Stegostoma tigrinum: one gene and its partner. The main gene of each other region encodes a partner of the protein of the gene in region 2 in a complex. Links are inferred from orthologs where the notes say so. Each region holds a gene or a part of one and is shown on either strand. Other genes may lie near its edges.

Region 1 (16,534 bases), on a different chromosome or scaffold from region 2:
GAAGTCATCTTTCATCATGATGGTTCATTTTTTTAAAAGGAGGTGGTGTTGCAAAGTTGGGTAGAGTACTTATGGATCGGAAGGCAGAACATTAGAATATGTTTACTTTAGCAATGGAAAGAGATAGGTGTATATACCACAGGTCAAGAGTTATAGCTGGGGGAAAGGCAATTATGAGGTGATTAGGCAGACTTAGGATGCATAGGATGGGGAAGGAAATTGCAGGGGCTGGGCACAATTGAAATGTGGAGCTTGTTCAAGGAACAGCTACTGCGTGTCCTTGATGAGTATGTACCGGTCAGGCAGGGAGGAAGTGGTCAAGTGAGGGAACCGTGGTTTATTAAAGAAGTTGAATCTCTTGTCAAGAGGAAGGAGGAGGCTTATGTAAAGATGAGGCGTGATCTTCAGGAAATTTTAACTGTTAACAAGTTCTGCTAAATTGCATCTGGAAACAGGTAAAGCATCTCAGCAATGAAGCTGGGAGAAATTATTTTGTTACATTTATCAGTAATCTTAACTTCACACCTCAATCCCTCTGGTAATCATTGACCACAGTTTACACAAAGTGATAATATGCTGGAACTAAACCTAGTCAGAACGAACCAATGAAAGCATGTTTCAAATACAAGTATTTAAAACGAGGTAGCCAGGAAAGGATATCCACCTGGTGTTCAAAATTTGACCAGTCAAAATCAAAGGTTTATGTTGATATAAATTGACTCTCAGCCCGATACATCATCGTGTGGAGGTGCTGCTGTTGGAGTGGTGTTGACAAATTCAGAAATTGCACAAAACCAGCTTATAATCCCACAGGTTTATGTGAAATCACAAGCTTTCATAGCACTGCTCCTTCATGTGGTAACGACACTGCTGACTTCAATACATCATCAGCTGGAAAGTACATCCAGTGTTTTGTTTTCCCAAGAAGTTTATTTTGTAATTTTGTCCTGGTTATCTTGTCTCTTGCGGCGGCACGGTTGCTCAGTGGTTAGCACTGCAGCCTCACAGCACCAGGGAACCAGGTTCGATTCCAACCTCAGGCAACTGTCTGTGTGGAGTTTGCACATTCTCCCCATGTCTGCGTGGTTTCCTCCGGGTGCTCTGGTTTCGTCCCACAGTCCAAAGATGTGCAGGCTAGATGGATTGGCCAGGCTAAATTAGCTGGTGTTCAGGGGTGTGTGGGTTATAGGGGGATGGGTCTGGGTGGGATGCTTCAAGGGGCGGTGTGGACTTGTTGGGCCTAAGGGCCTGTTTCCACACTGTAGGGAATCTAGGCTACTCTCAAAGAACACATACAGTCCATTCTCTTACTTCAAGTACTCAAAATATACAGGTGTAAACCTTGGTTGACTTCGTCAAAACATTCATGAACCGGCTGGTCAATCGTAAGAACATCAAATCATCTCACTATGACACAACACATTGACAAGGTTTAGTGACAAGTATATCAATCTCCTAATCAGTTCAGAACATATTGCCAACTTACACTTCACAATAAAATACTTCTGGGGCCGAAGGAAAAAGTCAGGAATAACACCAGGTTTGGGAGAAGAATCAGGAGGTAAATTACAGTCTGACCATTCAGGATAGGTTTACAGGAAGCTTTTAATAACATAATGGAATGTTGTCAGAGAGGAATAATGTGAGATGCTCAGGATTGCTGCAGAGACTATAAATGTAACAACCTTTCCAACCATTTTGATCCTTGCTCCGTCTTCACTGCATGAACCACGGATAACAATACAGATGGAGGGTATGTTGGATGGTGATTCGAGCATATAAAACAGACCATTATTGATCCAAGATTAATGTGGAGTCACAGGACATGTAGCTGTAATGGTTCACTCAGTAATCCAGTCGAAGTAAAGATGGCTTTGGATTCCTCCTTCACGAGCTAACTCTGAAAACACTGTGGGATCCAGCCATCCAACCTGAATAAAGTACTTTGTCTGACACCTTCTGGTGTTCCAAACCAGCCGAGGTCCTAAGGGAATCACAAGGCATCTCTGGTCTCAATAAAATTACTTCAAGGATTATTTTAAACGAGAAGTAAACCAAGGCCTTTGCAGATATAATATATAATTATTTTTCACAGTCCTCTGGTTAACTTTGTGATGCTGAACAAAACAAAGATATTGAAGCTTAAAGTTAGAGAAGATTTGTAGCTCAGGTTGTGGATGAGGTTGTTGACTCGCTGAGTTGGTGGGTTTGATTGCAAACGTTTCATCACCCTGCTGGGTAATATCATCAGTGCACCTCAGTGAAGTGTTGGTGTTCTGTCCCATTTGTTATTTATATGCCCCGGTTTGCTGGGATGGTTGGTATTATTTCCGGTTTGGTATTTTGTACATTACATCGGTTTTAGGTATGAGATCTCTTACATTCGTCAGTAGCTGTTGCGGGCTACTCTGATACCTAGGGGTCCGAGTAGTCTTGTGGTCACCTCTAATGTCCTTGATGTATGGGAGGTTGATTCATGAGTCTGGTCATGTTGTGTCTTCCTGTTGTGGTCTGTCTCGGAGTTAACGGTGGATTGTGCTTTTCGTTTGTCCATTCCTTTTGAAGACTGTGTATAAGTTCCCCTGTTCTACTTTGCATAGTTCTGGGTTGCTACAATGTGTTGTGGCTCGTTTAAGTAGTGTCCTGATGCAGCTCCGTTTGTGGGTGTTGGGGTGGTTGCTAGATAAATTTATGTTTAGGTTTTATTGTCAGTAAAGTTTTGTTCCAAATTTTAAAATTAAGAGCTGAATGAAAAACAGCTTGATCTCTGATTCCGTTCAATAATCTCCAGAATAACTGCCATTTGTTGGTTTTGATGACTTTCTGGAGTGTCAATCATCCTGGAGGGGGAAAAAAATTAAAATGAAAATATTAAACGAGATCATTCATTAAAAAAATGGAAATAGAAAATACTGGAAACACAGGGTTAGTGCAGCTAATAGTCAAGCTTATATTCACAATTCAGCCTTCAGATGAACTGGAAGATAAAATAACTCCTTTTAGGGGCTGTACAAAAGGGAAAGACATAAAAGCTAAGAATCAGAAATATGTCTCTGATCAGAGAATCTACCCATGAATTGGATTCTAAAACACTTCCACTGATCACAAATAGATTCTGTTGAGAAATTGTTCATGGCTAATATCAGACCAGCTGCCTGTTACCCATAGCACCGCGCATCTAATTTTATCCACTAACTAGCAAGTCCTGCATATCACAGCCTGTTCTGTTCTGCACCACTGCTGGCATGACATTCACCATCAAATTTCCAAACAATTATAAATCATATTTATAATTAATCTGAATTTTAAAAGATTGCTTACAAGTGCTTTCAAACACATTTTTACAAACTGTCACAAACAAATTGTAACATGACAGTTAAGCTGTATCCTGAGACCAACTTCTATCTTTATTTTTGTAAAAATGGTTATTAATGATAACTAACTCCTGGGTGTAATTTAATATTTAATCTGTCAGCTGTTCATGCTGATTTAATGCATTTGCCATTTTGTAGACACTGGACTATCAGTACCTGAACAGTACGACTAGAGCAAAGCATCTCTAATGATCAGATAAATCTGCCAATAAGGAGTAAGTGAAGGGAACACTCCATCCAGGTCTTACCCATTCATCCTCATCAGCACCTTCTCCTTGGGTAGCTTTGGTCTCTTGCTCAGTTTTGTGCTTTGCAGCAAATACATTGTCAGTCCAAGAAGCTCCAACCTTTTCGCCTCCTGCGAAGTTGCATTTAGTCACAGTTCCAGCATCCATTTTGGCCAGTGAAACTAAAAAAAATTACATTCTTACAGTAAAGGCTAGTGATATTTTTAAACCAGTCAGACTTAGTCAAGCTTGGCATATGGACAGGTTGTTCACTTAAATTCACACTGAGTGACCCACTGTTGGAGGGTACAAGACTTAATTACTGTGAAATCTTGACTAAAGTTGTATACTTGCTACAGTCCGTCACGGCTCAGTCGGTGGTGTAAGGGGCCACACATTTTCCTGTTTAGATTGTAAACTAGAATAGAAATCAGACACTATCAAGCTAAAATACGTGAATTTTGCAACTTGTAACATCAATTGGTACAGATCTTTAGCTATACATGGCAATGTTGATTTTGTAGTAGTGAGATCATTACATTTTGAAACAAAGCAATACTGGGAAGTTTTGAATTAGGGAAATGCTCCCTGATAATATCCCTCAGATTGGTCAGGCCATTGTATGGTTCAGATTTGAGGGCAGTACAGCCAGATATATCCAGAACTGGAAATCAAAAAAAACCTCCCTCTCCCACCCACCTCCGCTGTGAAAAGGGGAAAAAAAAAATCTAGAGGCTCAAAAGAAAAAATTCTAATATAGCAAACATTTTATTAAGAGCACCTATGGGACCAGGAGTGTGCAGATTGATCTAGAGGTCTGCATAATTAATGTGAAAAGACAGGGGGTATACACAACACTGTTCTACTTTACTTACAACATAAACCACTTTAATAATAAGGGAACTTTGCATTAAATAAAAAGTACCAACTGACAGCCTTCTCACTCATGCTCAACTGACTTCTCAGACATTGCAGCAGATCATGATAATATAGTAAACTCCATTTAAGGTATATAATGTTTAGAGTGTGCCAGTTCATAAATTAGTTTGGAAAGGTATTCATAGAGGATCTGCAGATTGGAACCTCCAAACAAACATCACATCATTGGATATATTCGACCATGGATATTATTGTCCTTTGAATCCCAGAGCAGGACTCTAATGCCGTCGTGGCGTAGGCTGGTGTATCCTGGAGTGGGAAAGTGGCAGTGGAGAAGGAAAAGTTGGACTGTCGTCAAGTTAGTAAAATGTGAGGCTGGATGATGAAGGGTCTAGGCCCGAAACGTCAGCTTTTGTGCTCCTGAGATGCTGCTTGGCCTGCTGTGTTCATCCAGCCTCACATTTTATTATCCTGTCGTCAAGTTATCTTTCTTTCAATTTATTTTATTTTAAGTTAAATGAGAACGGTGTTGATTCATGGTGACAGTGTAAAACTTTTCACTGTGTTATATTGAATACATGTGACAATAAATGATTCACTAAGTAAAACCTTCAACAAACTCAAAGAGCTAGAACCCCACAACACAGAGCTAGACCCTATACACTCCACTGTGAAGGAAAACCCGAAGTGAGGTAATCCAGCTCAACGGACACCAGAGTTTTAAAACCAGGCAGGAAAACACAACAGCGCTTCATCGGAGGCTGCACTGATGATGTTACCCAGCAGGGTAATGAAACATCTGCGGAACAACAAACCAGATCAGCAAGCCAACCAATCTCAGCAGGATAGTATAATGTAGGGTAGTTTGATCTCAGAGTAGGGTAACAAGTTGGCATAACATTGTGGGCTTAAGGGCCTGTACTGTTCCATGTTCTCATATGGACGGGTTATGTCAGGTCAAAGAGGTGGGGAATGAAAGGGATGTTTGGACATGGGAATGAGACGGGGGTGGGGAGATCTTAAAATTGGTGAATTCTATGTTAAGGCCATTGGGCTGAGGCAGAATATGAGGTGTTGTACGTTAAGTCCACCCATGGACTGTTTTCACAATAACCAATTCATTGTGGTCTCCATCAGCAGCTTTTCTTTTCCCCCCCCAATTCCCCATTATCCATTCCTTTCTCAGCCCAATGCTTTTCTCTGCCCTGGGCTCTATTTCCTCCTTCCCCTCCTCCCACGTCCTATCTCAGCACATATACCAATCTTATTCTAGCTACAATAGCTAGTTCTGAAGAAGGGCCACTGGACCCGAAATGTTGAGGTTGATTTCTCTCCACTGATGCTCCAGACCAATAATTCCTGTTTTATTTCAGATTTCGAGCATTCACAGTTCTTTGTTCTTTTATACTGGTGAATCTGCTCTACACTCCTTCCAATGAAATCCTATCCTTATAGAGTGGTGACCAGACATGCACAGTATACTCCAGCTGTGGTCTCATCAAAATAGAGTACAGCAGCAAAAAAATCTCCCTACTCTTATAATTTACACCAAGGCCAAGTTGTAATGTGTCCCATATGCCTTCTGAACCATCCTATTAACCTGTCCTGCTGCCTTTAGGAAACTATGGACAAGCAACCCAAGATCCTATGATCCTCAGCTTCCTAGCGTCCTGCCATTCATTGATTACTCCTTTCTTCCAAATGTCACATCTTATTTTTCAAAGTTAAATTTCATTTACACTGATCTGCCCAATCTGTTCATGTCTACCTGCAATCCAAGATTCTTTCCTCACTGTCAGCCAGTGAAACTTTGCATAACAGAGCCACACTGCAAATAGACCCTTCGGTCCAACTAGTCTATGCTAACCATTTTCCCCAAATTAAGCAAGTCCCACTTGCCTGTCTTTGAACCATATCCCTCCAATGTTTCCTATTCATGTATTTCTCCAAATGTCTTTCAAATATCATAACTGTACCCACATCCACCACTTCCTCTGACACTTCATTCCACATATGAACCAGTGTAAAAAAACTGCCCCATTAGAACTTTCTCCTCTCACCTTGAAAATATGTCCCCTATTTTTGAACACCCCCTATCCTAGGCAAAAATCCTTCCTGTTAACCGTTTCTATGTCCCTCATGATTTTATAAATCTCTACAAGGTCACCCCTCAACAACCTACACTCCAGTAAAAACTTATTTTCAACACCTCACCCCACTCTCATCTACTGTTTATATAGATCATGAACAATAAGGGGCCCAGCACTGATCCCTGTGGACACCTGCCTCGAGTCACACAAACAGCCTTCTGTCACTTCTCTCTCTCTCTAATCACTAAACCAAATTTGGATCCAAATTGCCAAGTTACCCTGGATTCCATGTGCTTTTACTTTTTCTTTAAAAAAAAGTCAGTTGCCCACTTGGAACCCTGTTAATATCTTTGCTGAAATCCATACAAACTACATCAACTACGAGACACTCATCTAACACTTGGAAAAATTCTATCAAATTTGTTAGGCACAACCTCCCTCTGACAAAGCCATGTTGAATATTCCTGATCAAACCTTGCCTTCTTAATCACTTAAATGCATCTGCATAGTAACTTTTAATAGTACATGTCCCAGCTCACAGGTTCCACTGGGCTTCAGAGTTCTGCAATCTCTCGCTATTTAAAATAATGCTCCTTTTCCAATCTTAGTGATAAACGGACAAATTCACAATTTTTCATATTTTAGTCCATCTAAAAATATTGCACACTTAACAGTCTATAAAAGGATATAGGCTGGTTAATATCCACTTGACAATTTTTGTTTTTTTTCTCAAACTCCTATTCTATTATACCTGCCATCTCCCAGGGGAGGTAGTAGTGTAGTGTATGGTCACAGGGCTGATAGTCTAATGTCCTTGTGGGCATGGGTACAAATCCCACTATGTCAGATGATGAGATGTGTGCAATAACAATATAAACAGCTAGGCAAATGGCAGACATTTAACTATTGTCAATTATCATTACAAAGCCCTGTGGTTCACTAATGGCAATGTCATTACCCAGTCTGATCAGCAAACGCACTGTGGTTGACTCTTAAGTTACCCTTCAGCAACTGAGGATGGGAAATAGCTACAAATAGCAGAGCTACTAATTGAGGGGTGATAGATTTAAGACAGATGTCAGAAGCAGGTTCTTTACTTAGAGTGGTAAGGGCATGGAACGCCCTGCCTGCCAATGTAGTTAACTCAGCCACATTAGGGGCATTTAAACAGTCCTTGGATAAGCAGATGGATAATGATGGGATCGTGTAGGGGGAGGGGCTTAGTTCACAGGTCGGTGCAACATCGAGGGCCGAAGGGCCTGTTCTGCGCTGTATTGTTCTATGTTCTAAATAAATGTTGGCCTAGTTCATGAATTAATAAAATAAAACTTATTCAAGACTGTTCCGGTATTCCACTATCAGCCATTATTGATTCCACAATCTTGCCCTTTAAAAGGGCTCACTTTGGTTATACTTTTCATTTTTAAATACTTAAAAGCACCTTATAGTTTTGGTTAAATTTTTGGAATGTTTTCTCTCTAATTTCTCTTTTGCTGATTTCTAAATCTGTCCAGATCTCAGTTCCATACCAATGATACATCCTTCCTGGTGGACTGTTGGAGTATATTTTTAGTGAGGTATGAAAAATTTCAAAAATATATTGCACTGTCCTATCTTTTAAACCATTTTTCCCCAATATTCTGTTTATGTAATTGCCTTGATTCAACTTCAAGGCACTAGATTTTATTAAGAGAGAGTGTGTATACACATGCTTGGGGAAGAGAGAGAGTGGATGTGTCAGATTGAGGGGCTGGGTGAGTAGAATCCCACTATGTACAGATTGCCTTGTTTCTCATTTTCCAACTGTGATGATCAACCATCAGCAATGAAAAATTTGGGGATTCAGACTTGATGGAAACTCTTGCTTCTCGTTTGGTAAGAAATTACAGCTGCAAAAACAGTGAATCTCAGTAAAAATCAATTGTTCCAGGATGTAACATTCAAACTTACAAATAAAAGGACTGTCCCCCAAGGTTTTCAGTCGTAAACAATCTTCAACCTCCAGCTCAATGTCTTCCACCTCTCCCTCTGAGATCCAGAATGCCAAGCTCTGATTGGGGGTGTGTTTCTCTGAGATTTTAATAAGCTCTGGTTTATTAATTAATCGCTTCAGATCTTCAACCAAAATTTTGTCTGTCTGTCCCGCTGCTTCCACCTCTACCGGATGATGTAAAACATGAAAACACAAGGTTAAGGAGCAGGCCTGAGAGCCCATGGCATTAGGTGCTTGACAATTTTCACCTGCTTTTTAATGAGGCTATTCTCGCAGCAATTTTCACTCACTAAGGTTTTACCACTTATGTTTTCAGTCATTTTTCTTTGACACAGACTAAGTCTAAACAGGAAGAAACTCAAATGTTCAGTACTTACCCAAAACTGACGTGCCTGTATGGATCATTTATAATAGGTGGAATGACTTTGAATATGTAATTATTTTTGTTCTCTACAGAAACAAAATGGGATCTCCCACTGCCCCACACCAAAGCTGGTAACATTATCAACACTAATTTCCAGAAAATTTCAATCTCCACATCCTCCTTACTTACACACATGAACAAGAGGAAGCTGTTCAGCCGCTCTTGGCTGTTAGACAGGACCAGTAGAGACCATTCAGCTACTTGAAAGAATTATACACAAATAGGAGGCCATTCACCTTCCCAAATCTAGGAACAGGAACCATTCAACCCTTGAGGCTGTTGTACAAAGTAGGCTATTCACCCTACCAAATCTATTTCAATTTTCAATATGGTCATAGCTACTCAAATTTGGCTTCATATACTCACTGAAGGAAGACATCAAATAGCCAGTGTTGACCTTTTTAGTTTCACTGAAATTTGGTTCAATCTCCACACCAGCAGAATCAAACTTTCTTTTATGGATCCTTGTTGGTTGAATATAAAGAATGAAATAACGATGCTGAAAAGCATAAAGAGTTTTTTTTAAATCTAGACATTTTTGTTCATTAAACCAAGTAGAGCAGTGAATTCTACATAGTTTCCAGTTGTGGCAAAGGATCGTCGGTTACAAACAGAATACTCAGTTTCTGCGAAACTTTGTAAACTTGAGGAAAAAACCAAAAGAACTGTGGATGTCTGTAAATGCAGGAAAACTTCTGCATCCTTGTACTCCAATTCTCTGGATATAAAAGCCATCAATTTTCTACACAAGAGGGTAGATAACTTACAGAGAGAGATACTTCAGGTCAATGACCTTTCATCAGTCCATAGCGTATATAGCAAGTTTTCAAGGACACTTTATCAGGGCTCTGTTGAAAACACAAATACCTGTTTATCATTGGAGCATCATGGATTCGCCCTCCTTGACCTGGTATGGGATTTGAACCTGAAGCTTTTAGTTAGGAGGCAGGTTGCTATACAAATCAGTGCCACATGACCTTCCCAGTATTTCTTTTAACGAAAAGGACTGTGGAGACTGTAAATCCAGCAACTCCTGTTTTTGTTGTGTTTGTAAATTTGAGATTTAATTTCACTTCCGGAGACTCAGGACAAACACTAACACCACGCTCCCGGCTCCCGCCCCGACCGACCGACCACGCCCCACTCTGCTCGTCACAGCCCGGCCTCCAGCAGCAGCACGCACCCCCCCGGGGCCCTCCCGAAACATCATGCCGTCCCTTACCGTGCTCTTTCCGCTCTCGATGATTTGATGGCGGCTGACGGCCCGCAATCTTCCCTCCAGCACCACCCCAGGGCCGCTGCAAACAAAGCGGAGCCGTTACCCCCTTTCAGACCACCCGCTGCCCGCCTCCAATCTCTTTGCAGCTCCCCCGCTACCAGCACTCACCGCTGCAGCTCAGCCGGTTCCCAGCGCCCCGACACCGGCTCCGGGATGACCGGCCTGTTCGCTAACGCTTTATCATCATATATTCTGCTCATAGCGGCTTGTTAGGACCGAAACAGATGACCCAGCGCTTCCGGGATCAGGGCAGGGACCTGCGGACAGATCCCGGTGGAGAGTGGGTGGGTCCACATGCTCAGGGGCGGTGTCTTCTGTGTCAGTGGGCGGAGACACATGCTCAGGGGCGGTGTCTTCTGTGTCAGTGGGCGGAGACATGCTCAGGGGCGGTGTCTTCTGTGTCAGTGGGCGGAGACACATGCTCAGGGGCGGTGTCTTCTGTGTCAGTGGGCGGAGACATGCTCAGGGGCGGTGTCTTCTGTGTCAGTGGGCGGAGACATGCTCAGGGGCGGTGTCCCTGGTGCTAGTGGGCGGAGCTCTGTCGGTAATGGCCGAGCTGCTCCTGCTCCCTGCTGACTTTGGGGACCGGGATTCGCAGCGCTGCCGTCTTGGGCCACGGGTCTTAACCGCTCTGGGCCTCAGCCTGGGTGCACCACTGCGGGTCTGTTTACCGGGAGGCTCAGCTCTGTGCTCTGCTTGGCCACGGGCGGACCGGGCCGAGGGCTTCTTGCAGCTCGACTGCAAATGCGTGAGTCCGGGGCTGTTAGAGAGACCTTGCCGGGGCCTGAGCTTGGGCCTCGGGCACCTAGAGCCCCTCTCCTGTGTTAAACTGAGGCGGGTCCGGGTGCGGGCTGTTCAGTCACATGGACCCGGGCCCGGGCCGGTGGTGGCACAGCTGCTGCTGAAGGAGCTGCTGAGGGGGTTGTTCCTCTGCCCGGGGTTTGTGGTTACGGTAGAGCCGGAGGCCGCGGCCTGGCCTGGGTTGTTCCTGCTGGATGTGGCCGCAGTAGAGCCGGAGCTGTGTCCCGGCAGCGTTGGCGTCCTGGGCCCCGGGACCCAGCTGGAGGTGGCGGAGCGGCTGAACCTGGAGCAGTTCCGAGCCCGAGGAAGGGGCCTGGACCTGGGCAGCCTGCAGCTGTCTGCTGCCCCGCTCCAGGAGATGCTGAACCTTCCGCTTCGTTTCCCGCGGGCCCTGAACCGCCTCGGTCTGCCGTGCCCCCGGGGTTTACTGTTACTTGGGCCTCCGGGGGTGGGGAAAACGGCGCTGCTGCGCGCCGTGTCCCAGGATTTGGCCGCTCCACTGATCCTCGCCTCCCCCGCTACCCTCCGGGGCTCCCGGCCGGGGGAGAGCGAGCAGAGGCTGCGCTGTCTCTTCGCCCAGGCCGAAGCCCAGGCTCGGGCCGGGCCCTGCATCGTCTTCATCGACGACATTGAGTCGCTGTTCCCCCGGAGGGCGGCGGCTGGGAGCCGGCCTGAGGACCGCCTGGTGGCCCAGCTCCTTACTCTGATGGATGGCCTGGAGCCTCGCACTCGCCTTGTCGTGGTAGCCGCCAGCAGCAGCCCCGAAGCCTTGGAACCCGCATTGAGGCGACCCGGCCGCTTTGACCGAGAGGTGCCTGCCTTCCTGAATCGGCCAGTAGTCAGGGTTTGGGAGACAGAGATCCTGGTTTGAGGGAAGAATGGTAGACACCAGGGCAGGGCAGGGCAGAGACGAACCCCTAGGCCAGAGAGAGAGGTACCCGCGGGGTAGGGGTGAGGGAGGAGAGAGACTGGGGGTTTGGGTGGGGGGCAGAGAGACAGATTAAGGATGAGGAAGGCTGAGAGAGTCAGACCTGACGTGGAGAAGTGAAACACTTCCAGGAGCACAAAGTCAGATGTAGGCGATTTTTATGCAACTAAATCCTTAATGGGCGATTTTTATAATTTACTGAATCTGAAAGACTGAGTCTGCCTTTTAACTGCCTTTACAGGTTGTAATCGGGGTTCCAACGACGTCGCAGCGCCGATCCATTCTGGAAGTAGTCACCTCATCAATGCCTCTTGGGGCTGATGTTGATCTGTCCTGGCTGGCAGAAGCTACAAGTGGTTACGTTGGTGCTGATCTGACAGCCCTTTGTCGAGAGGCTGCTCTGCAGGTTGTGAGGCGCAGCTCTCAGGTACTAAAAAGAGCAAAAGAAGCAAGGCCGTGGGGTGTGTTAACCGTGCTGCCCAGGGCATGTGAGGCCTGGAGTGGTGGCTCATAGAATTTATTTGTGCTATTCAAAAACTTACACTAGCTGAGTATAAACCATGTTCAGTCAGTCGCAGAACTAGCCACTAAAAAACAAAAGAACTGTGGATGCTGTAAATCAGGAACAAAAACGGGAGTTGCTGGAAAAGCTCAGCAGGTCTGGCAGCATCTTTGAAGGAGAAAACAGTTAACATTTTGGGTCCAGTGACCCTTCCTGTGAAGGTTCTGAGAAAGGGTCACCAGACCCCAAACATTAACTCTGTTTTCTCCTCCACAGATGCTGCCAGACCTGCTGAGCTGTTCCAGAACTAGCCACGTTCTCAATTAACCTAAAAGTCAGAGTCATAGTTGTACAGCAGGACACCTGGGAGTGCTGAAGACAGTTGTACTCCTGTGAGTTGAGGCCAGATCAGTGTCTGCATGGAGACTCTTCATAGGCGTGCTTTGTTTTTTAATTTTTGCATTAATCAGACAGACTTTAGGAATTATTCTCCTATTTCAAATTTCTCTTTGTAATTATTGACTCTGATTTCTTTAAGGACGCAATGAGCAAGAAAATCACCTTTGCAGACTTCTGTGAAGCAATGAAGATTGTGCAGCCTTCCTGTCTGAGAAGCAGCATCGGGCTTACTGGCTTCAAACCTGTCCATTGGGATCAAATTGGTGGCCTGGAACAAGTCAAACTGAAATTGAGACAGGTGACGAATGTAGCTGTGGTTTAAAGACACAGGTGGCTGTTGTGACCCAAGCCCCTCCCATCTCAGAATTCGCTGTCGCCCACTCCCAGCTGTCTGCTCTAATGGATGAGGCAGATCTTGAATGCAGTCTGTAATTGTTAGCATTCTCTCTGCAGAGTATTGAGTGGCCAATGCTATACCCGCAGGCATTTGAGAGGATGGGGGTGACCCCCACTCGTGGAATTCTGCTGTATGGACCCCCAGGGTGTGCAAAGACCACGCTGGTGAAAGCTGCAGCCTCCAGCTGCCGCTGTCCTTTCCTGTCGATCAGTGGGGCAGATCTCTTTTCACCGTTTGTAGGGGATTCTGAAAAGATTCTGGCTCAGGTGTGTATTTACAACAGGTTCACTCCAGACCGTGTACAGCAAGTTTAATAGTAACCTTATTTAAAGATGTACACTAGCCAAAGTACTTCAGTAAAGCAAAGCCCATGTGTTTTATCACCAACCCTGTACAGATCTATTTCCCTTGTTCTGAGCAATTCAGTTATGTCTATAGTTGTCATGCAGTGAACATCACAAAATACCATTTTCTTTGATAATTCAGATTTTTCTGAAGCCTGTGAGCACTCCCATCTTTAACACTCTAGCGTTAATTATCAAAGCTGAACAAAATAAATCTTGGTGATAGTTGGTTATATTAGTTCTGTTTGCTGTCTGCCCCCCTCCCCCAGCACATTGACATTCTGTTCTGTTTAAAGTACAGGTTTTTCAGCAAGCTCGAGCTGTAGCTCCATCCATCCTGTTCCTGGATGAAATTGATTCCATCCTTGGATCACGTTCACTTGATGAAGCAAGTTGCCGTTCTGTTAAAGAGCGGGTACTCTCTGTTCTTCTTAATGAGATGGATGGAATTGGGCAGCCACTGATTGGGAGGAGACACGCAGAAAGGAAAGTACCTGCATCTGAAGGAAATCAAATGGAACAGACAAAAAAGGTATAAGATTAAACCGACCAAAATTTAATGTGCTGGTGCTGGATGATTTCAGTGGAGTGAGGCGGGGGAGGGGATTTGTTTCGATAAGATCATCTCAGTTATGTTAAACTGACTATAGGAGTAACCTAACACCTCTCCTCAACAGACTCTGTATACCTGAAATCAACCCAGTGAGTGTACCCTGGACTGTCTCCAGTACCAGTATATCTTTCATTGATAATAGAATCAAAACTATTCGCAGTATTTCAGGTGATGTCTAACTGGTATCTTGTATAGTTGTAGCAAGGCTTCCCTATTTTATTGTTCCGTTCCCTTTTAAATTAAGGCCAGTATTCCATATGCCTTCCCTATTAGCCACTGAACCTGGATGCTTGATTTTTGTGATTCATGTATGAAGATGCCAAATCACTTATGTAGTCTCTCTCCATTTAAATAATTTGCAGTTATCCTATTCCTTCTGCTAAAGTGCGCTACCTCAGATTTTATTCCAAGTGCTTAGTTTTTGTCCATTTGCTTAACCTGTTTATATCCATCCAACACCCTTGGCCTCAAACTAGTGTGCAGTAAGGTTAGAAATCTTTTGAGAGACAATAAACATCAGCCTTTGGAGAGAACATTTCAAAGAACTGTTGAAGTATCATACACTCAGCAATGAGGTTGTTAAATTCTGATGAAGGGTCTAGGCCCGAAACATCAGCTTTTGTTCTCCTAAGATGCTGCTTGGCCTGCTGTGTTCATCCAGCTTCACACTTTATCTTGGATTCTCCAGCACCTGCAGTTCCCATTATCTCAGGATGTTAAATTAGTTTTGTGCGAGTTAGGTTTTTTTTATTGTCACATCTAGGGCAATTTAGTGAAAAGTGTTTTGTCTCCACAATCCGGTGCGATTTTTGAGACATAAAAGAATGAGAAGAAAGTACTTAAAAAGAATTCACCTGCATTGACTGGGGTCCCAAACATGGCTGTAGTACCCTACTCCGGACTGACTGCAGGCAGGAGTCTCCAATCTGCCAATTCCAGGAATCCATGCATCGGGCCCACAAAGCCAGGAGTCCCTGCTTCAGTCAGACTGCTCCAGCATCACCATGACATCAGGGAGGTGAAGAAAAGAATGTGGCCAGCCTGGAGCGGATGGGCCTATTGTGCCGCAGCTGCCATTTTGAATAGCTGGGACAACTCTTCCCCCTCCATGCTGCAGAGCCCGCTGTCCTCTCCCCAGCATCAAGGCAACAGTTCAGTTCGGGCACCTAGTGATGACAGTCTTCAATGATCATGACATCTGTGCTGTTACTAAGACTCTTGTGTATTAGGCAGCCATCTTTCTGACTCTTCTGTGTGGTTCTGAAACATGGGCTATGTATAAATACCACCTCAAGGCCCTTGAGGTCCTACTAATGCTGTTTTGAAGCCGATTCTCCACATCAGCTGCGAGGACAAGTGTGCTAACAACATACAGCCAAATAGCATAAGCATTGGGGTCAAACTGATGTTGCTGGGCTGGCTACAAGTTTAAGTCCCAACTACCCAAGTAGATCATCTTTTCCTCATTCAAGGAAAACACCAGAACAAGAGGGGCACAATGGAAGCATCTCAACGAGTCCTTGAAGGCTTTTATTCCCCAAGAAATGCAACATTGATGTCTGCGGATGGGAAACCCACAGTCAGAAGAAATGGACTTGGACAAAGTTCCTGTATGAAGGGTCATAATTTTTTTTTTGATAGCATCAGTTTTCTGGAAAATGAACCAGAGAAAGTAATGCCCGGAACCAATTCTGCCTACCAGAAGACCTGCCAGATGTGTGAGTAATGCAGCTCAAGGTTTGAGCTCGTCAGCCATAGAAGAACCCATTGAGCCAGAGACACACAATTTGCTGGGTTGATGATCATACTCTTTAACGAGTGACTATTCATAACAACTATATCCCTCTGCAATCTCCCATTGTGTCATCATCATCATTACTTGCCTTTCCCACCTTTTTGTGAGATATACAAATCTACCAATGATTCATACACACTTGTCATTGGTATCATTTGTATATTGTTTGTTAGTCCAGTTCTGAATTATGGTGACGAATTAAACAACTCACTGGAGGCGGCAGTTCCACAGATACCCTCTCCTCAATGATGGGACATTCCAGCATACCATTGCAAAAGATAATATTGAAGAAATTGTGATGACCCATCAGTGCTGTTGGTTCACTGTTAATGCAGTGACAGTAGATATGACAGCTGCACAAAACTATCATGAATTGAGAATTAATGAGCTCAATACTTACACTCTGGGAAATGTCAACAATGTTTGGAGATACTTTCCTTGAGCTAAGTTTCAGTTGTATAGCTGAGTGTAAAACCAGTTTCAGACATC
Region 2 (15,579 bases):
TGATGGACATGTCATCAAGAGAATGGGAGGGGGAGTGGAAATGGTTTGCGACTGGGAGGTGCAGTTGTTTGTTGCGAACTGAGCGGAGGTGTTCTGCAAAGCGGTCCCCAAGCCTCCGCTTGGTTTCCCCAATGTAGAGGAAGCCGCACCGGGTACAGTGGATGCAGTATACCACATTGGCAGATGTGCAGGTGAACCTCTGCTTAATGTGGAATGTCATCTTGGGGCCATCCCCTCCCCTGTCTGCTTTCCGGAGAGACCACTCTCTCCGTGACTCCCTTGTTCGCTCCACACTGCCCTCCAACCCCACCACACCCGGCACCTTCCCCTGCAACCGCAGGAAATGCTACACTTGTCACCCGCATGGGCCCCAGCTATGCCTGCCTCTTTGTAGGTTACGTGGAACAGTCCCTCTTCCTACAGGAAGACCCCTACACAGGCCCCAAACCCCACCTCTTCCTCCGGTACATTGATGACTGTATCGGCGCCGCCTCTTGCTCCCCAGAGGAGCTCGAACAGTTCATCCACTTCACCAACACCTTCCACCCCAACCTTCAGTTCACCTGGGCCATCTCCAGCACATCCCTCACCTTGCTGGACCTCTCAGTGTCCATCTCAGGCAACCAGCTTGTAACTGATGTCCATTTCAAGCCCACCGACTCCCACAGCTACCTAGAATACACCTCCTCCCACCCACCCTCCTGCAAAAATTCCATCCCCTATTCCCAATTCCTCTGCCTCCGCCGCATCTGCTCCCACGATAAGACATTCCACTCCCGCACATCCCAGATGTCCAAGTTCTTTAAGGACCGCAACTTTCCCCCCACGGTGATCGAGAACGCCCTTGACCGCGTCTCCCGCATTTCCCGCGACACATCCCTCACACCCCGCCCCCGCCACAACCGCCCCAAGAGGATCCCCCTCGTTCTCACACACCACCCTACCAACCTCCGGATACAACGCATTATCCTCTGACACTTCCGCCATTTACAATCCGACCCCACCACCCAAGACATTTTTCCATCCCCTCCCCTGTCTGCTTTCCGGAGAGACCACTCTCTCCGTGACTCCCTTGTTCGCTCCACACTGCCCTCCAACCCCACCACACCCGGCACCTTCCCCTGCAACCGCAGGAAATGCTACACTTGTCCCCACACCTCCTCCCTCACCCCCATCCCAGGCCCCAAGATGACATTCCACATTAAGCAGAGGTTCACCTGCACATCTGCCAATGTGGTATACTGCATCCACTGTACCCGGTGCGGCTTCCTCTACATTGGGGAAACCAAGCGGAGGCTTGGGGACCGCTTTGCAGAACACCTCCGCTCAGTTCGCAACAAACAACTGCACCTCCCAGTCGCAAACCATTTCCACTCCCCCTCCCATTCTCTTGATGACATGTCCATCATGGGCCTCCTGCACTGCCACAATGATGCCACCCGAAGGTTGCAGGAACAGCAACTCATATTCCGCCTGGGAACCCTGCAGCCATATGGTATCAATGTGGACTTCACCAGTTTCAAAATCTCCCCTTCCCCTACTGCATCCCTAAACCAGCCCAGTTCATCCCCTCCCCCCACTGCACCACACAACCAGCCCAGCTCTTCCCCCCAACCCACTGCATCCCAAAACCAGTCCAACCTGTCTCTGCCTCCCTAACCGGTTCTTCCTCTCACCCATCCCTTCCTCCCACCCCAAGCCGCACCCCCAGCTACCTACTAACCTCATCCCACCTCCTTGACCTGTCCGTCTTCCCTGGACTGACCTATCCCCTCCCTACCTCCCCACCTACACTCTCTCCACCTATCTTCTTTACTCTCCATCTTCGGTCCACCTCCCCCTCTCTCCCTATTTATTCCAGTTCCCTCCCCCCATCCCCCTCTCTGATGAAGGGTCTAGGCCCGAAACGTCAGCTTTTGTGCTCCTGAGATGCTGCTTGGCCTGCTGTGTTCATCCAGCCTCACATTTTATTATCTTGGAATCTCCAGCATCTGCAGTTCCCATTATCTCTGATACTGAAATTATTATTGTGTTATTTCTTGTTTCGAAAAGACTGTAGCAGTGTAATAATGATCCCTTTAAAAGCACAACAGCTTGAACAGAAGCATTAGAGTGAAAGCTGAGATAAGTTAGTTTGAATCAATTTACCACTGAGGGCACGTTTTAAAATTAAATTTTTTCACTAACATTTCAACATGTGAAACTTTACTCTGCAAGGCTTACCTGGTGTTGATTATAATGTTAACAATTTTATTTGCTACTGAGAATCCTGCATCATTAAGTGTTTCCCATTTCAGCATGGAGTTATGCCAGTCTGCAGCAGTATCCTTTATTTTTCTGACACTGTTGTTCAAGTCTTGTCTTCTTGGAGTTACAAAGCCTGAGCTTGGACATGGAGCTAGTAAACAAAAAAATGTATTAAGTTTCAGCTATTTAAGAAAAAATCTAATGCTTAACTACAGGTATTAACTTGCATTTATAAGAGGGTCTTTTAATGTCCCAAGGCACTTCAAGTGTATTAGAGATAGTCCTGCATCTAGTGTGCGCAAAACAGACTAAGCATACGATTGTTTCAAAGATAGTAGGAACTGCAGAGGGTTTCTGAAGAACGGTCTAGGCCAGAAATGTCAGCTTTCCTGCTCTTCTGATGCTGCTTGGCCTGCTGTGTTCATCCAGCTCTACACCTTGTTATCTAAGCAATACGATTGTGTCCTGTTTGCACAACTGGGACATGTAGCCGGCTTGTTACCAGAGGCTTTTACTCGAGGGATAGCACCCCAGAAGCAGCATAGCTGTGCAGGAAACCAGTACATTCATATGAAACATGTTTTGAGTGGGGATTGAACCCAGGCCTCAGAGGTACAGACACTACCACAGCAGCACAAAAGCCCCTCTGGGACATGTTTTTTTACAGATGATGATATTTCTAATCAGCCTGCTCAGACTCGAACCCAGACCACCCACCTCAGAGGTAGGGATATTACCACCAGACAACAACAGTCCCTTGGAAATCTTTTGTTTTAAGTGAAACAAAGCTCAGGCATATGGGACTAGTTTCGTTAGCAATAATGTTGATGGGGGTTTGTTTCCATGCTGCACAGCTATGACCTGGACCATAATCAATGGACACCACATGCTGGTCTGCTATTAGGTGTTTTCTAATCAGCCTCTTCAGGAAGTGTATGAAGATGTCAACAAGAAAAAAGGAAGCGTTAAGGTAAAGGATACTGAAGTCTTAAAAGAGCGGGTGCACTTGAGTCTAGAAAGTGCAAGGGGGTCATTTAAATAGGAAATTAGGAGAGCAAAAAACCAGTGGTGGATAAAACTAAGAAAAATCTAAAGATGTATAGTGGGGCACAAGAATAAACAGACAAAGAGTAGTACCATGTGTGTATAGCCCAAAGAGAGACAGACATAGCTGAATACTAAATATGTATTTTGCATTTGCATTCACAATAAAGGAGGACGATGAAGGTCCAGAAATTGAGGTGGGGGTGGAACTGTGATTTACTTACAGTCAGGGTTAAACAGCACTGTAACAGACCCTTTGGTCATCCATGCTGACCAGATATCCTTTATAAATCTAGTCCCATTTGCCAGCATTTGGGCCATATCCCTCTAAGCCTGCTTATTTAATCCAGATGCCTTTTAAATGTTGTAATTGTACCAGCCTCCACCACTTCCTCTGGCAGCTCATTCCAGACATGCACCACCTTGTGAAAGAGTTGTTCTTTTTAAATCTTTCCCCTGTCACCTTAAACCTATGCCCTTTAGTTTTGGCCTCCGCCCCACCCCCACCCAAGGGAAAAGACCTTTCCCATTTACCCCATCCATGACACTGCAGGGAAATAGCACTGGTCTGTCCAGCCTCTCCTATTGCTCAAACCCTCCAACCCTGACAACGTTCAGAACCCTTTCTAGTTTCACAACATCCTTCCTACGGCAGGGAGACCAGAAGTGCACACGATACTCCAAAAGTGGCTGAACCAAAGCCCCTGACCTCCCAACTCCTATACTCAATGTACTGACCAATAAAGGCAAGCATACCAAATACCTTCTTCACTTTCCTATCTACCTGCGATTTCACTTTCAAGGAACTATGAACCTGCACTCCAAGGTGTCTTTGTCCAGCAACACACCCCAGGACCATACTATTGCGTATATATCCTGCTCTGATCTGCCTTTCCAAAATGCAGCACCTCACATTTATCTAAATTAAACTCCATCTGCCAGCCCTCAGCCCATTGGCCCATCTGATCAAAATTCCATTGTACAGGAGGTAATTTTCTTCACTGCCCACTACAAATTCCATTTTGGTGTCATCTGCAAACTTACTAACTATCTCTCCTATAGTCACATCCAAATTATTTTTATATAAATGACAAAAATCAGTTCACCAGCACCAATCCTCGTGGTACACCACAGGTCACAGGCCTCCAGTCTGAAAACCAATCCTCCACCACCATCATCTCTTTCATCTGAGCGCCAATTCGGAACCAAATGGCTAGTTTTCCCTGTATTCCGTGTGATCTAAACTTGCTAACCTGTCTACCACGAGGAACCTTGTTGAACATCTTACTAAAGTCCAAATGGATCACATCCACTGCTCTGCCCTCTGAATTTTTTGAAGTAACACAATCAAGTTACTGAGACAATTTTCCATGCACCATGCACGCACTTGACCAAATTAGCATCGAGGGGGAAGATATTAGTGGCTTTAGCAGCTTTAAATGTAGAAAATTTCCTAGGCCCAGATGAGATGTATCCAAGACTGCTTAGGGAGGCACGGGAGCAGGGGCCATGAAAATTTTCAACTTCTTTCCGACCACAGAAAAGGTGCCGGAGCACAGCTAATCTTAATACCATTATTCATGAAGGGTGTAGGGATAAACCAGGAAACTATAGGCAGGAGAGGCTGACATCTGTGGTAGGGAAATGATAGGCAAAGAAAATTGAGACACAAAATTAAAGTCCCCTTGAATTAATCAAGGATAGTGGGCATAGCTTTGTAAGTGGGGAAATCATAACTAACAAACTTGATTAAATTTTTCCACAGACGTGACTTGTATGTGGATGGGGGTGATATAGTTGATGCAGCCAGAATAGACTTCACTAGAGCTTAAGACAAGTTCGAGCATGGGACACTCATTAAGAAGCTCAGATTCCATGGGATCCAGGGCAATTTGGCAAAGCACAGAGTGGTGATGAAAGGATGCACTGTGCTATGGCTGGAAGCCTGTGTCCAGTGGTTTACCACAGTACAATGACAACGAGGAAAGCCTTGGACTACAGGACAATATAGATAAATTGGAGTTTCATCCTAAAAAGTAAACAAGTTGATGCATTTTGGGTGCATTAACCAGCAAGAGAATACATATTGAATAATAAGAACTCGAGGAAGTCCAGAAGAATCTTGCTGAGTGTGTGCATAGATCCTTGAAGGCAGCAAGTAAGGAGGCATATGGGATACTTTCTTCGTCAAGGTATAGCAGCCAAGAGTAAGGAGGTTATGCTGGACCTGAATATAGTGTTAATTAGGTTACAGCTGGAGCAGTGAGCAGTGCTAGTTTCCACACTACAGGAAGGATTTGATTGTACATTTGAGCATGCAAAAGAGATTCACCAGGATATTGCCTGGGCTACAGCCATTTAGCTTTGCTGAAGGCGATGCATTTTGGAAGATCCAATTCAAGAGTGAACTATGTGGAAAATAGAAAAGCCCTGGGGAAAAGCGATGTACAGAGAGATCTGGGTGTTCAGGTCCATTGTACTCTGAAGGCTGCTATGCAGGTCGATAGAGTGGTCAAGAAGGCATACAGCATGCGTTCATTCATCGGACGGGGTATTGAGTAAAAGAGTTGCCAGGCCATGTTACAGTTGTATAGGACCTTGGTTCGACCACATTTGGAATACTATGTACAGTTCTAGTCACCACATTACCAAAAGAATGTGGATGCTTTGGAGTGGGTGCAGAGGAGGTTCACCAGGACGTTGCCTGGTACGTAGGGTGCTAACTATGAAGAGATGTTGAGTAGATTGGGATTATTTACATTAGAAAGGCAGAGGTTGAGGGGGTGACAAGACAGGGTGGAGAGCAAGAAGCTTCCCCCACCTCCCCAGAGTGGGGGAACTCAATTACTAGAGGTCACAATTTCAAGGTGAGGGGGGAAAAGTTTAAGGGAGATATAAATGGAAATTTCTTTACACAGAGGGTGGTGGGTCCCTGGAACACACTGGCAGCAGAGATGGCAGAGGCAGGCACAACAGCATCATTTAAGATGTATCTTGATAGATACACAAATGGGCAGGGAGCAGAAGGATACAAATGCTTAGAAAATAGGCAACAGGTGTAGATAGAGGATCTGGATCAGCACAGGCTTGGAGGGCCAAAGGGCCTGTTACTGTGCTGTAATTTTATTTGAAAGTCAGATTTGATTTCCTTAGAGCAAAGAAGGCTGAGGGGGAAAATCTGATTGAGTACTCCAAAATTCTCATGTGCATAGAGGGAAACATTTCCATAGTAGAGTTTTCACTAACTGGAGGGCGCAGTTTTCAAACTAAAGGTGCAGAAAGTTTATTGGGAATTTGAGGATACTGTTTTCTACCCCCCAACGCACCTGGAACCTACTGCCTGAAAAGGTGGTAAAAATGGGAAATCCGCAAGACATTTGAGAACTATTTAGATGAACACTCGAAACGTTTTAACACACTAGACTCCAGGCCAAGGGGTGAAAAATGCGACTAGGATACAGAGGCGCGTGATGGGTCGAAGGGCCTCTTTCCGTCCTGACCGACTCCAAAACACGTTATTGCGCATCTTGTTCAGTACGTTTTGGTCAATAAAAGATGGATTTTTTTTGGGGGGGGGCGTCGAGTTCAGAATTTACTCTTCCGATTTACCTTCGGCTTAAGAACAATAATTCCTTATGCACTGTACAATAATGTACAATTTTGTTCGTTAAGATTCCTATGATGCACGTTGGGGCCTCTTACTCCATTACAGCCACCTCTACAAATGTGTAACCGTAGGGCGTCTCACAAATTCTTAGCTTAGTAATATTCATTTTTATTTCCCATGAAGCCGCATCATTTTACACGTTTTCACGTGTTTTCCATCCTTGAAACGTCTGCTGCCGCTTTTCCCTAAAGGCTAAACTTTTGAGATTGCGATTAACGCAACACATTTTAAATCTTTCCAAATCAGCCTTAGAAAGTAATTCAGGGGAAAAAAAACCCTTAAATTTCACACGAAATAACTAAGCCATACCGTCCATGTCTACCACATTTGCGCTGAAGTCACTTCACAACTTGTCCGAAGTCACTACGTCAGGATCACGGACAAGCTACAAGTGAAACGTTTCGTTGATGAACCGTCTAGGGGACAGTAACAAACTGTACCCCGTGTATCAAAAGGGCCAGGATAGCTTTACCCTCATTGGTGAAGAAGATTGCATTCTGATTGGCGGAGCGGTAGCACCGCTGATTAGCGAAGACCCTGATTGGGCAGACTGCGTTCTCCGATTGGCGGAGCGGACAGTGTTCTCTGATTGGTGAAGTGGGCACGATATTTGTGTCGAAGTGGGGGGATAGCGCCATTATGATTGGTGGAGCGTGTTACCCGTTCTAATTGGACACCCTTGACCAGTGAAATGCTATCCTTACTCTGATTGGTGAAGCCGTCACACGGCACCAAAGGATGGAACGGACTGTTCATTCTGATTGGTGGAATGGCCTGTCCGTGCTGATTGGTGGAGCTACTCTCGGCTCTGACGCGGGGGGGGGGGAGGGAAAAGGCCTCGGGAGCAACATGGCGGTTGGGCAGAGAGAAATTGTATGAGACTCAGGGGATCTAACTTGGAGCGTGGTAAGTGATGGTGGGGATGGGTCTGACATACACGTGAGGAGTGTGGCCTTAAGTGGTCCATGGGGTGGTGGGTGGACCATTGTCGCAGGCCCGGCTGAGGAGAATAGATTCTCTGGCTCTGGTAGTAGTGATCTCCTGATGTGTTGACAAGGCTCTTGAGATCGAATAGGTTTACAATATTAAAAATGATTGTTCAGTCATTGTATTCTAGACAGTGGCGGAATGTTTCGTGTGAAACATTTAAAATTATTTCTATCCCCCTTCCAATGTTTAAACTATATTGAATGATACCTGTTAAACTTAAGTAAATTAGACATTTTTCCAGCACATACAACTATGCAACGTTCTGGAAGCAACTGATAACAAGGCAGTTTTTTTGGCAGCTAATAACATTTTTAACCTCATTGGCCTGACATATCCCAGGCTTCCAATATCACCAAGAAAGGGGATCAATCCTTGCTCAATGAACAAAACAGGAGGATTCCTAAAAATTAATTGTCACCTTCATGTGCCAAACAACGTAAGCAGCAAGTGACTTACAGAGCTAAATGATTCCATAACCAACAGATCAGATCTAAGCTCTGCAGTGCTGCCACATCCAGTTGTGAATGATAGTGTACAGTTAAACAAATCGCTGGAAGAGGAGACTCCACAAATATTCCCATCTTCAATGATGGGGGAGCCCAACACATTAGCGCAAAAGATAAGGCTGATGTATTTGCAACAGTCTTCAGCCAGAATTGCTGTGATTTATCCATTCCATCCTTTCACAGAGGTCCCCAGCATCGCAAATACCAGACTTCATCCAATTCAGTTCACTCCACATCATATCAAGAAATAGCTGAAGGCTCTGGGTTCTGTAAAGGCTGTAGGCCCTGACACCATTCCAGCAATAGTTCCAGCAGTTGCTGAAGATTTCTGTGTGGCCACAGCACTGGCATCTACCCAACAATGTAGAAAATTACCCGAATATGTTCTGTACACAAAAACAGGACAAATCCAACGTGGCCAATTACTTCCCCATCAGTCTACTGTTAATCATTAGTAAAGTCATATATCATCCCATATATCATCGATAGTTCTTGCAAGCAGCACTTGTTCCGCAATAACATGCTGAATGATCAGAGATAATGGGAACTGCAGATGCTGGAGAATCTGAGATAACAAAGTATGGAGCTGGATGAACATAGCATGCCAAGAAGCATCTTAGGAGCACAAAAGCTGACATTTCGGGCCTAGACCCTTCATCAGAAAACCCTTTTCTGATGAAGGGTCTAGGCCCGAAACATCAGCTTTTGTCCTCCGAAGGAGCTGCTTGGTCTGCTGTGTTCATCCAGCTCCACACTTTGTTATCTCACATGCTGAATGATGCCTTGTACGGGTTCCGCCAAGGCCACTCACCTCCTGATCTCATTACAGCCTTGGTTCAAACTTGAACAAAATAACTAAATTCCAGGCATTAGGCGAAAGTGACTGCCCTTGACATCAAGGCTGTGGCACTTCAGCCCGAGTGTGGCATCGAGGAGCTCTGCACAACTGGAATCAGTTTGATTCGGGAGTCGGAGTCATACCCAAGCAAAGGAGGATGGTTGTGGTTGTCGGACGTTAATCATCTCAGTTCCAGATATCTCTGCAAGGGTTACTCAAGATAATGCCCTTGGCCCAACCATTCTTATTAATGACCTTCCCCCCCCATCATAACATTAGAAATAGAAAGGTTTGCCAACACTTGCCTGATGTTCAGTACCATTCACAACTTCTCAGACACTGAAGCCATCCATGTCTAAATGCAGCAAGACTTGGCCAATATCCGGATTTGAACTGACAAGTGGCAAGACCACAGTATGATAAAATTGTGTATTATGTTTAAAAGTGAGGCACTTCAATCTGACGCAAGGATGTAAAATTTGAATTAGGAAGTAATGATGGCATGGAGTACATTGGGATTGGGAAAATACATTAACAGGCATGACTATACATATGCTGTAGATAGCTTTAAAAGAAATATTACGTGCCTTACATTAACTATACATTCCTTCAAAGTATAAAAACTTAAATCTGGCTAACAAGGAAATTAAGGATTGTGTAAGATTAAAAGATTTATAAATTTGCCACAAATAGTACTAAACGTAAGGGTGGGAGATTTTTAAGAGTATAGCAAGGAAGGACTCATAAGGAAAAGGAGAATAGAATATGAATGCAATCTTGTAAAAAACCATAAGTGGTCTGTAAAAGCTTCAGGTATGTAGAGAGGAAAGGTTTGGCTGAGGCGAATGTTAGTCTGTCAGGCACATATATAATGGGGAATGGAGAAATGGTTGAGAAGACAAATAATTACTTTATGTCTGCTTTCATCGAGAAAGGTGTAAGAAACTCCCAGCATTAGAAATGCAACTGACTCGGGACAATGAGGAGTTGAAGAAAATTGGTATTTGTAGTAAGGTTGTTCTGGAAAAATGAATAAGACTGAAAGTTGTTAAGTTCTCTTGACCTGATATTCTGTATCCCACAGGGCTGAAGGCAATGATTGATGATATAGAGAATATATTAGTGATCATCCTCCAGCTTTTGATAGATTCTGAAATGTTTCTGGCAGAATGTCACCCATTTTTTAAGAAGGCAGCGAGAGAGAAAACAGGGAATTACAGACCTGCCATTCTTACATCAGTAATAGGGAAAATACCATATAGTAAAGAATGGGATAAATAGACACTTGGATAAAAATCATCTGATTGGGCATAGTCAGCATGGACGTTTGAATGGGAAATCATATTTGACAAACTTTTTTGAGGATGTTACGAACAAAATTGATAAAGGAGAGTTGATGAATTTTGTACGCTTGGATTTTCAGAAAGCTTCCGATGAAGTCTCCCACAGAAGACTGTTAAGCAAATTAAAGCACATGTGATAGATACTGGCATGAGTTAAGGATTGGCTAACAAGCGGTAAACAGAATGTAAGAGTAAGCAAATCATTCTCTTGTTGACAGATGGAATTTACTACAGGTAGGGGTGAATGACCACTTTAGGTTAGAAGAACCAAACCTGAGATTTTGGGATCTGCATCGTTGTATTCATTACCTAGATGCAGTGACCCTTTGGAGGAATATCTAAATACACTGGTTTCAAGAACGAGCCAAGGCTGGGAATTCTGAGGTGAAGTGTGCAATTTACCTCTTGATCTTGCAAAGCCAATCCAATGTCAAGAAAGCAGCGTGTATGTCTGCTTGCCCAGATGAGTGCAGCACCAACAACATTCAGGAAGAGCGACACTGCCCTAAACCAAACAGCCTACTTGATCGTCACCAATCCACCAGCTCAACACTAAACATTCATTGCCTTTAACATCTGATGCTTAATAGAAGCACTGTGAAACATGTGCAAGATGCAGTGCTACATCTCGCCTTTCTCAGCACCATTTAAGCTCATGCATTCTACCACCTGGAGGCACAAAGGGAGCTGACACATGAGACTACCAGCACCCAGATGTTCCCCTCCAGGTTACACACCGTCCTGACTTGGAACTGTACTGCTGTTCTTTCACTATCACTGGGTCAGAAGTGTGGAATTCATTTCCTAATAGCTCCACGAGTGTACCTTCACCACTTGGACTGCAGCAGTTCAAGAAAGCAAATTCACTGCTATCTTGATAACCGATAGGGATCAATAACAAATGTTGGTCTTTCCAGTGATGCCTATTTCCTATGGAAGAATAAAATAAATGTTCTGTGTCATTAAAAGGGATAGGTTGCAAAGCAATTAGAATTTCAACACATGAATAAGGTAATAAAAGGGATATAGCAGTTCACCATTCAGCTATGGGAGCAATTGGAGCTCTGGCCAGATTATTACTTTGTGAGGCTGTCAGAACTTGGACTTTAACTTGCATTTTCAATAGTAAAGCCTTGTGTTAATTTGTGCATTTTTGCTGGTTCCAAACTGAATGAGATTATTGTGAAATTATCCTAATTCTTTCTCTCTGCTTTGCTTCCTTCCAAGAGCTGTTGAGAATGAACCCTGTCAAGAGCTTGTTTTAGGAGCGGGCACATCAAGTTGAAACGTTTTTACAAACAACATTGCCATTAAATTTTATGTTTTAAAAACAACATCACAGTTCAATTTTAGGATGCTGCATTTCTGTTTTATCCAATCAATGACCTTTTCTGATCATATTTTACTGGAGCTGTTTATCCCATGGTGGTGTTTTTTTTAGTATTAACATACCTGTTGTATGTATTGAGCAAGCTGTTTTTATTATGTTAATCATTCAGTTAACGTGTTGTGTATTAAATGTGTCTATTGGATATGCCTGTTATTAACTTTTATATTTTCTTATTGGCATAAGTTTCTCCATACTGCCATTCCAGGTTTCAGTTTGTCACGTTATAGCTCGAGCGATTATCTATTATCACTACCTATCAATCTCATTATCTATAATGTGCCAAACATGATACAGAATCAGTAGGTGTTTTACACAGTATTGGATCGCACTATTGACACTTATGTGCAAGTCCCAAAATAGTCCATAGTAAGGTAACTGCTTAGAGCAGTTAATTGATGTGATGGAAGCTATCATTAACAGTTAAATAATTTTGAACTTTTTGTCATCATTTTGGACATGATATTTGACTGAGATAACTGACCAGTCAACTGCTATTGTCTGAACTTTAACTGTCCAATATAAACTTTTCTGGTGTGCGTAGATTGCATTTTGTGTGTAGTTAATGAGATTTTCTAATTACATTTCCCTTTGTTTGTTTTTCCTTATTTTCAGTGTCTTATTGATGCCATGGCATTAGATGTGCACTTCACCACATTTAAGGAGTTCAGTCCCTTATCTTACCTACTGAATGCTATCCCAACAAAAGTACAGAAGGGGTTTAGAAATGTTCTCGTCCATCTCACAGCACTTGATGCCAATAAAGACTACATTGCAGTGGGCAGTAATATCGGTATGCTTTATCTCTACTGCAGACGGCTGAACAAGATGACAAAATATAATCTAGAGGTACGTTTGAACATTAGCCTGTTGCTGTAGTTATGTGAACAAAATTAGCTTAGGACCAGGAGAGAAGTAGGATAAACATTAACTTTTTATCCTTCTATTTTACCATTTCTGCAAAGCATTGAGAATAATACCCGTGATAAGTTAGATTTATCCTTCTGAGATGCTGACATGTTTCAAGAAAGTACTAAAATATACTCAAGTGCATTATCAAAATAAATTAAATTGAATAGCCTTGTATATGTTTTGCTAAACTTGTGATATAGTTGTTTACTAAAAGAGTTTTCTTTCTCATTAAGGGTAAAACTGATACTATTAGAGTGGTGAAATTGTTGGCTTGTTTTGATGACCTTGTTGCTGTTGGGACATCTTCAGGAAGGGTAGTACTTTTCCAGCTCGTTTCACCATTGCCTGGAAGAAACAAGCAGGTAAATTAGAGCTCTGGAGGCATGATTTAGTTTTTGCACTTCGAGCAATATTTTGGTCTTTGATGTAATAGCACCGGCAGATTGTCCCATTTTTCTGCAAAGCTAATTTAAGGTATTTTGCCAGTTTCTGTAGCTATCTAAGCAGTCTGCTGCTGTTTCTCCTACCAGCATCACTGATACTTCTTACACATTCTCTTTTTATTACAGTATTCATCTGGTCTACCAGCATCTGTGGAGATAAAACTTTATTATCTCTGAGTCAAATATAACTCTTCTTTGGAATTTCTTCAGTTGACAATGAGTCTTAAGTTGAATTCAAATTTCTAATTGTGTGTTGAAATTTTAAAAATGCACTGATAAATTATTCAAAAGACTTTTATTTCATCCATGATCTAGAAATATTATAGTCTTTTTATTTGTCTGTCAGTTGCATAAGAGCCATGTGAAAAGTTGTCTGTATTGTGTCTTGCAGCTTTCAAATTCATTTTCTGCAATTCTGTAAAGCATAAATGTAACAGTACAGTTGTATTTGGCTACTGATAAATTTAATGTTTTTCTTGACTTTTTACTGTAATGCTTGCTTCACAGTTGCGTCGATTTGATGTCTGTATTCACAAAAGTAATATTACAGCACTAGCTTGGAGCACTAATGGAATGAAACTGTTCTCTGGGGATGATCAAGGCAAAGTAGTCTATGCTGCTGTGGATTTGGACCAGGTAATGATTCTCAAAATGATATATTGTGAATAGCTAGATTATCTAGTAGGGTTATAGATTTGTAAATGTATGGCAAATGCAACTATTTAAGAAACCACAGTTCTGAAAGCAGACTACATTTTTTCAAGTTTTTTGTTTGAAATGTGTTGGCAGTATTATTTTAATGGACAAAAGTTGTTAAAAGTACCAGCATTTGATTTCATCAGATTGGCAAGAAAGGAGCACTAAAGATGAACAGTCCTCGTCCAACTTTCAGAATTTCTAGCCAGAATAATTTGGGATTATGGTAAGGGTCTTGAGGGATATGGCTAGCCAGTGTATCATTCCCCTTGGGGAACATCATTTTTAACCGTGTGTATTAATAGCTTGAAGGAAGGAATAGAAAATTATGATGACACTAATATAAACGTTACGGTAAATTGACTAGATCAGCTGATAACAAAGGGATGGACTAAGTGAGGATGCAAAATTATGAGGGGAAATGTGTATTTATCTGCTTCAGAACTGAGATCAGTTCTTATACAGGTACGAACTGTAGCTTGACAAAATATTTTGGTATCATTTTTAACATGACTGAAAGCTACAATACAGATGCAAAATACAATTAAGGACTATGTAATTTTAGCCTGTATCTTCATAGATTCATAGAATCCCTGCAGTGTGGAAACAGGCCATTTGGCCCAACAAATCCACACTGCCCCTCTGAAGAGCACCCTACTGTGACTTATTACCCTACCTCTGCATTTGCCCATGTACAACGCAAACATCACAGGACTGTATATGTAATTTAGCATGGCCAATCCACCTAACCTGTGCATCTTTGGACTGTGGGAGGAAACAGGAGCACCCACAGGAAACCCATGCAGATATGGGCAGAATGTGCAAACTCCACACAAACATTCGCCTGCAGGTGGAATTGAACCTGGGTCCCTGGCACTGTGAGGCAGCAGTGCTAACCACTGAGCCGCTGTGCAGCACCTGAGCCGTACGGTGGCTCAGAGGTTAACACTGCTGCCTCACAGCATCAGGGGCCTGGGTTCGATTCCACTGCTGGTCAACTGTCTGTATGGAGTTTCCACATTTTCCCTGCGTCTTTCTGGGTTTCCTCCGGGTGCGCTGGTTTCCTTCTACAGTCCAAAGATGTGCAGGCTCAGTGGATTGGCCATCCTAAATTGCCCATAGTGTTCAGGGATATGTAGATTAGGTGGGTTATAGGGAATGGGTCTGGTTGGGATCCTTTGAGAGTCAGTGTGGACTTGTTGGGCCAAAGAGCCCGTTTCCACACTGTAGGGAATCTAAGTCATCATCTTCAGAAGACTAGAATACAAAAGTGAGGAAGTGCTGCAGTGTACGGAGCCTTGATCAGACCCCATCTGGAGTAAAGCAAGACCAGATTTAAGTTATCCAGTTTGAAGTTGTTCTGCTTTAACCTCACAGATATTATTTGCTGGTTTTGTGCATTTGAGTGTTGAGGTTTCTGTTTTGCATTGTGGATGATGCAGCTTCACTTAGCCTGGTTGACATTGTACTGTCTTTGTTGCTTAGTGCTGACTCCCTTCTGCTTTC

Evidence for each region.
Region 1: cinp (region 2) and afg2b share a complex: the UniProt entries of both Homo sapiens proteins name them as parts of the 55LCC heterohexameric ATPase complex. The link is inferred for Stegostoma tigrinum from reciprocal best matches to the Homo sapiens genes CINP and AFG2B.

The regions. Positions count from the first base shown.
Region 1 is NC_081386.1:37,031,152-37,047,685, reverse strand, and holds the start of afg2b (spermatogenesis-associated protein 5-like protein 1), read left to right. Parts: upstream 1-10,755; 5' UTR 10,756-10,813; coding exon 10,814-11,878; intron 11,879-12,236; coding exon 12,237-12,422; intron 12,423-13,035; coding exon 13,036-13,194; intron 13,195-13,349; coding exon 13,350-13,559; intron 13,560-13,595; exon of another isoform or gene 13,596-13,938; coding exon 13,939-14,169; intron 14,170-16,534. Other genes in the region: arpin-like, read right to left, coding at 3,623-3,783, 8,521-8,727, 9,354-9,486, 10,210-10,285, 10,375-10,466. UniProt on the Homo sapiens protein: ATP-dependent chaperone part of the 55LCC heterohexameric ATPase complex which is chromatin-associated and promotes replisome proteostasis to maintain replication fork progression and genome stability.
Region 2 is NC_081363.1:38,564,433-38,580,011, forward strand, and holds the start of cinp (cyclin-dependent kinase 2-interacting protein), read right to left. Parts: upstream 7,421-15,579; 5' UTR 7,275-7,420; coding exon 7,268-7,274; intron 2,399-7,267; coding exon 2,224-2,398; intron 1-2,223. Other genes in the region: tecpr2 (tectonin beta-propeller repeat-containing protein 2), read left to right, coding at 12,653-12,871, 13,168-13,296, 13,885-14,013. UniProt on the Homo sapiens protein: Component of the DNA replication complex, which interacts with two kinases, CDK2 and CDC7, thereby providing a functional and physical link between CDK2 and CDC7 during firing of the origins of replication.